2 linked regions of the Nothobranchius furzeri genome follow. The protein of the gene in region 2 purifies or fractionates together with the protein of the main gene of each other region. This does not show direct contact. Links are inferred from orthologs where the notes say so. Each region holds a gene or a part of one and is shown on either strand. Other genes may lie near its edges.

Evidence for each region.
Region 1: the proteins of si:ch211-140b10.6 (region 2) and uri1 purify together in Homo sapiens (affinity purification with mass spectrometry; 4 studies listed by BioGRID and IntAct, with this or other methods). This does not show direct contact. The link is inferred for Nothobranchius furzeri from reciprocal best matches to the Homo sapiens genes POLR1D and URI1.

The regions. Positions count from the first base shown.
Region 1 is NC_091744.1:78,620,968-78,624,109, reverse strand, and holds part of uri1 (unconventional prefoldin RPB5 interactor 1), read left to right. Parts: intron 1-2,127; coding exon 2,128-2,206; intron 2,207-2,331; coding exon 2,332-2,467; intron 2,468-3,142. UniProt on the Homo sapiens protein: Involved in gene transcription regulation. Acts as a transcriptional repressor in concert with the corepressor UXT to regulate androgen receptor (AR) transcription.
Region 2 is NC_091747.1:51,106,103-51,109,974, forward strand, and holds si:ch211-140b10.6 (protein POLR1D), read left to right. Parts: upstream 1-1,407; 5' UTR 1,408-1,552; coding exon 1,553-1,578; intron 1,579-1,909; coding exon 1,910-1,984; intron 1,985-2,420; coding exon 2,421-2,772; 3' UTR 2,773-3,268; downstream 3,269-3,872.

The DNA.
Region 1 (3,142 bases), on a different chromosome or scaffold from region 2:
CATTACCCGGGATCACACAGCAGGGGCCTGCAGTTGTTGTTTCAGGTCGGATGGCGGCTCACGTTTCATGAGCAGGCTGAGCTGATTTGCAGCTTCAAGTATTAAATGATGGTAGTCAGTTAAAAAGCAGTTCTGTTTGCATTAAAGATTTATTTTCGATAAATCTCAGATCCAAACCATCTAGACCTGGCCTAGTGAACTAGACCAAATTCTTGCTTTGCAAATAATACATTTATTTAGTCTGGCTTGCCAGGCTAATCTAGACCAGCAGAGCCACACAAGTGATCCCTCCTGATGAAGAATAAAGCCTCTTTGCACTAACTAGGGCTGGGCGATACGGCCTAAAATCATTACCCCGATTTACCTAGGATTTCACCGAGTGGCGACGCCAAGGGGGCGCTATAGCTACCCCTGGATTAGTCATTGCACCCCCAAGTAAATATTAGATTTTATTCTTTACAATTTAATTTTAATTTAACGTGTGGATGTGATAATATTTAACATACAAAACAAAAATAATCAGTAAATTACCATATAGATAGTAAAAACTTAAACCAAAACAGGAAATTGGTGTTAACCTTTGACCTCATTTTCCCCCTGCAAATGAGTGAAAGGTAGAGCTAGTGGTAAAATGGATCGGTTTTTGTTGCCCACGTTTCCACGGGTTCAGTCAGAAACGAATGAATCTTTGGAAGTGATCTCAGACCCACAAAAACCTACGGGTCTGGATGAAGAGAGTCAACCCTCAACCGCCGCAGCAGTCGAGGGTTTTGTCGCTGGAAATGCTAACGCTAACGTTAGCTAACCTTGCAACACTAAAGATTGTTTTCTGTGTGGCTGTATGCGTTTATGATTTCATGGAAAAGTTAGTGATTGTTCATATGTTTATGAAGTATATTAATGATTGTTTCAGGTGTTGTTGAGGTTTTGTGCATGCATGTGTATCTGCTAGTGTTGAAGGTGTTTTAGAGAACAATAGGTACGCATGACCACTTCCTTCATAGCACCCTCAATAAAAAGACTAGCTCCTTCATAACACCTGCAGAAAAAAAATTCCGGAGCCACCACTGTTTTCACCTGGATGACAGGAACTACACATATGCTCTGAAACAGACGTTGTCCACTAGGTGGAGCTGTATTACATATGTGACTTAAGGTGGTACGTCTTCTTAAAAGGGGCATGAATGTTGCCAACCTGCACACATATTATCTTTTTTATTATCAGATGTGTTGACACGGGAAAAACAAAACAACAACATAAGTGTCAGAAATTTAAATAACAACACATTTTCGATTTATTGCCCAGCCCTAGTACAAACCCATTTAGACTCCAGTTTCTGCTTCCCTGCAAAAATTTTAGATTTATTTAACTTCTAAGGTTTATTCAAGTCCGTACATGTTTCTTTAGTGTGGCACTAAAAGAGAGTCGGTAGTTATAGGTTGATATTTAAAAAGTATTTAAAAAATGACATAAAAGAATCAAATTCATTAAACATTTAAACATGTATCAAGTCAAGGAATTATGAAGATGCTATTTAAGGTTTGTGTTTGTTTAAGTCTAAACAGGAATAAAGATGAATCTGTTCGAGTTCACATGCATTAATAATTTAGTTATTTGTAAATCGGGGCAGAAAATGTAAAATTATTCTTCCTTCTGCCCCCAGTTCATTTAAATTGTATGATATTAATGTTTATGTTTGTATTTTGTTTTATTGTATTTTACTTAATCCATTTGAATTAAATTAAATAAAACATTAAAAGACCCTAATAAAACAACTATCACCCCCTAGTGGTAACAATGTGCATTTAAAAATGGTCAAATTAGCTGTTTTAATCATTCCCAACATTTGCCAGATTTCATTTGAGTAGAAAAAACAACAATTAACAAAAGGGGATTTTATTGGGCCTTTCCATCATCCGTGTCTTCATTCACTCTCCATATAAATTCTTATAATCAAATAATTAAACATGGTCTTTTGAGGTTGCACCAGTTTCTTCCTCTGCTATTAAACAGGAAATGTGTCACTTTCGACTTTTCTTCACTTATTTTAACCCAACCAGCTGAATTATGGAGCGTAAGGAGAGGCTGGTTAATTCCAACAGTGAAAAGGTTTATGTGACTTGCAGGAAGAAGGTGTCTGGTGACTACGAGGCTCTGAGTGATCGCCTCCAAACTCTCCCAGATCAACTCTCTTATGACATCATGGTGCGTTGACCTGCTTTAAAATCGCACGAACTGACCCAAAAAACTGGAAATTTAAACTTTTTTACGTCCGCTCTCTCCCACCTGCTTCCGTTGACCCATTTTTTTCTGCTCTTTTGTTTCTGCAGGTGCCATTTGGCCCTCTGGCCTTCATGCCCGGGAAGCTGGTGCACACCAACGAGGTCACGGTGCTGCTGGGTGACAACTGGTTCGCTAAGTGTGCCGCCAAGCAAGCCCAAAAACTTGTCGATCACAGGATGAAGCGTGAGTGTGGCGTCCCGTCCACTTTCACTGCACAATTGTCTTAATTGTTCGATGCCGGCGCTCGTCCAGCAGAGGGCGGTGCTGCATCACAACCGGAGAAACTGGAAGGCCAAACTTAGTGATGGGATTTACAAGTTTGACACAAAGCTGATTTTCTGCAACAGCGACACAAAAAGCTGCGTGCTAGGAGCAAGATGGATGTTTCGCACAAGTGGTTTAAAGGCTGGAAGCCCGTTGCGGCCCTCTGGTACTCCACTACCATCGCTGCCTCTGTTGTGAACATTTTAAACAGCAGTTGAGCTCGGTTCCTGTCTCGTGTCGCTTGAACGTGCGTTGTGTGCGGCGTTTGTGTTTTCTTTGCTGATCTTTCTGCGTTCACAAACCTCACATCCAGTCGGATAGACCCAAGCTCCGATCGCTGATGTGAACATTATTAGAATGTTTAGTGAAGCAGAAATGGGCTGCCACGGCCCATCCAAAGCCCCCCCCCCACGTCTCCTGACCCTCCCCACCCTGCTATTACAGAGCTAAGTGCTGTAATACAAACATAGCTAGCTGAAATGTGTCAGACAGCGGCTGAGTTGTCAGGCCTTCTGTGTTTGACCTTTCCTCACTTCCAGTTGATGCACTGACTGGAGGGGCTCCCGATCACCATGGAAACAAGGGCCCTCTGCT
Region 2 (3,872 bases):
CGGCGGCTCCTCCGCGCCGTCCACTCGGGCCCCAAAGCGGGGAGCAATTATCAGCTGCGGGGCGTCGATCACGCATTCGCCGCAACCGACGGAGAGCTCCGCAAGCCCGCAAGAAAACGCCCCCGTACCGTTGGCGCCGCTGATCCCGCCCACCGCTGCCAATCAAAAGGTGATGGGAGGAGTCTACGGAGCTGAGTTTAGAGGTGGCTTACACCGACCGCCTGTTCAAAAACAGGATCAGAACAAAAATTAGAATAGAATAGAATAGAATAGAATAGAATAGAATAGAATAGAATAGAATAGAATAGAAAAAAACAGAACAAATATATACTTAATTATCTGCCTCAAAAGTATTCTTACAGTGCTGGGTGAAGTGTATTACCCACAAGTCATTGCTGCAGGAGAAAGGGTTCAAGTTCCTTTTCTGAATATTTTCTAATGGAATGAGTTAGTTTTGGGACAATCAGTTGATGCTCTGAATGTTTTAGACAAAGCAGCAATTAATTAAAATTTATTTCAAATAATGGGTTGTTTGTTTAAAAGTTGTTAATAAAGGCTTTTGAAAAAGTATCACAGGACCAGCATCTCGGCATGCGTTGCGTTTCATGACGCAATGCTCCCTGTCTCACTTCAGCAATTATTTGCACAGTTGTAGTCCACGCACTCGAAGCCTTACTGCACACTTTCTCCAAGTGCACTTTGCTGAAGACTGCAGGGCGCAATGCGAGTATTGGCACTGGGCCTGCTTGTGATGTCACAATTGGGGACAATTTCAAATAGCTTGTTTTAGGCACAACATTTCTACAACCACACATTGGCATGTTTGGAGCGTTTATAGAGGCAGAGTGCACATGGCGGCACAAAAAGGATGCAAAAGGCATAATATGTCTTCTTTAAGAAGATTACTTCTAAATAAAAATGTTTGTTATTGTCCTTTAATGTATCACAATCTAGATTACTAAAATATCTTGCTTGATGATATTCTGTAACTATCACTTTACTTTTGATTAAGCCATTGTATGTATTTAAATTATTTTTACAATTTACCAAAGAATTAAGTTGGCTTAGTTCCCAATGGAAAATGTTTAATCAAATAAAAAATGTACAAGTTTAAATGTCACATTTTACGTTTCGATTTGAGTATAAATCCTTTTTTTTAACAAAGTGTGTTTATATATTTGTTTGATTCTATGTTTGTTTTAAAGTTATTTGTGGCCAAATGTTGCTAAAACAATCAGCTGTAAATGTTTTTCCAGGGGTGCCCCATAACTTATTGAACTTTTAAAAATATCAATTATTTTAATTAAAAAAGATCAATACATAATACACAAACATATCTACTTGTAAATAAAAAATGTAGTTTGGTTTCATAACTTATTTTCAACATGATTTTGCAACTGAACAGGCATTGCTCCGGGCAGCTAAAAACAGGGTCCGCGATTGAAGGACCTCTCGGCGAAGTGAACAAGAAATGCCTCGTAAATTAACGTAAATTTATAGGTTTTATTAGGTTTTTATTTATTTGTAAGAGTTTTTGTGTGATTAAGACGCAATGGCGGAAGAAAATGAGCTAGAAAAGTGAGTAAATGTATCTTTATTAACTTCCGTCTGAACACATTTGCAGACATTTTCCCTCTAAAATGTAACGCTGCGGAAAAACAGTCTGTTAGTAGTTCTGATCTGAGTTGTTTACTGTATTTAAAGTTGACTTGTTGACTCTAGCTGCCTGTTGTGTGTAGTTTCAGGTCGGCATAAGTAGCGAGTCCAATCTGGTGATGAGACTCATTTCGGGTCAAACAAGGACACGTCCGCTTTACTTTCATCTTATATTTCTTGTACATCTGCTCAGAATTTCTGTCCTGTTTGTCTCATGACTCATTCTCCTGGTTCTGGGTCCGGTTCCGTCTAGGCGCGCCGTGGAGGAGCTCCTGAGGGAGACTGACAGAGCCCGGGTGAGAGCAGAGACCATGGGTCCTGCAGGATGGTGAGCTCTGAAATATCTCTGACCCTCTCATGTGGATTGGCTTTCTTTCTTTTCTTTTTTCTTTTTGGATAATTACTTAGTGTCTAGTATTATTTTAAATATTAGATTATTTTGCTCATGTTCTCATTAAACCATCTGAACACACCACGTGTCTTCCTAAAAATGTTAGTTTTGCACTAAAAGTTATCTTATCTGTTGGTATTTTAATTTGAGGTCTTATATCATATATATACATTAAAGGTTTTTTTGGGGCATTTCAATCGTATGTGTGAAAATTTCTTATTTAGCCTCTTTATTCTATAGTTAAAGGGATAAAACACCCACAAAAGTCATGTTGCTGAAGTCTGATTGAATCTGTGAAATTAAATTTCTTCTTTCGGCATCAACTGCTGGATTTTTCTGGATCTGTGTCTGATGTTTGTGGATTTTTCTCCAGGTTGAAGTGTCCTCTACAGAGCACCAACAAACGCTTCTTACTCAACACCCTGCGCTCCACGGGCCTGCACCGGCGCACAGAGGAACCCCAAGCCAAATGTTCCTCCACAAGAGGACGCCTTCGGAGCGAGTCCCCGGACAGACAGCGTGACCGCAGCAGAACGCCTCCGCCTGATCACAGGAATACTGGCGGCCCCTCGGATCATAAACGTCCTCACATGGACCGCCGCACAAGTCGAGATAAGAGGCCGGACAGAGATAAGGACAGACGCAGCAGACACCAAGACGACAGAGACCGGAAACATGCCGATGGACAGAAAAGAGACAAAAAAAGACGGATTCAGACTTCATGAATGGACCGGCTTTGTTTTTAGTCTCAGGAGCTCATAACCGACTGAGAGGTGCTGCTGTTTGCTTTGTGTTTAAAAGAGAAAAACTTTATTTAAAATATCATTTTACAGAGAAATAGAGTGAGTTTTGTCTCTTTGGACGTACTGGTAGATTATTTTCTTTTTTCCCAATAAAATGCAACAGAATGAGGTCAAACAGTCTCTCTCGTGACTCATGATGAGGTGTAACCGTGTTCGTCACAGGAGGGGGACCTAATCTCTATTATAACGCCATTACTATTCATCACGTGTCATGATGTTTACATAGGCCACGCTGCTGTCGCCACAGAGTAAGCATGTTTTATCATTTTTTGACATGCCGTCAAAAACTGGTTTGTTACTCAATGAAAAAGCTAAAAAACATTTCATTTATTTTGTTTCAGGAACAATCTGTTGATTTTGTGTGATTGTCCTCACTTTGAGATGGCAGATGGCCATTAAATCTTTCCATTTTTTCTGACTCCACTGTCTTTTATTATTTCTACAACTTTACAGGGACGAAAGTGTCTGATTCTGATTGCCTCCCTTCTTAACGGGCAACACGCCTCATAAATCACATATGGAACAGCCTGGGTTAACAATTTCCTTCCTCTTTACAACAATGATCAAATATAAAGGCCATTAGGCCATATTGCAGGGGGGTGTTTTGCATAGAAATGGCTCACCTGGACTTTATTGCACCGTTGAGTGCTGCCATTAAGATTCATTGGAAAGTGCTATAATTGCTTTTGAAGATCTGAGTGCAAATAGTCTATCGAAGCTGCGCAGACTATCAAAATAAAAGCCGGCTCGTCCCGCGTGACAAACATGCGTCTGAAAGTCGTGCGTAAAAGGCCGTGGAGACGCGCGCTCCAAACGCGCACGGCGGTTAATTGAGTTCAGTTGGTCTCTTCATGATAATTGACTAACCAAGAGGGCTATTGTTAAATGGGGCGAGGACACACAAAGATTAATGGCCAGCAAACACGAGGAGAGTGCAGCAGAGTTGTGTTTGTCGTCGCCAAGGTTTTTTTTATCGTCTGAGGCAGCGCGCGCAAAAATGGTGTTAAATGATGCATTTAGAA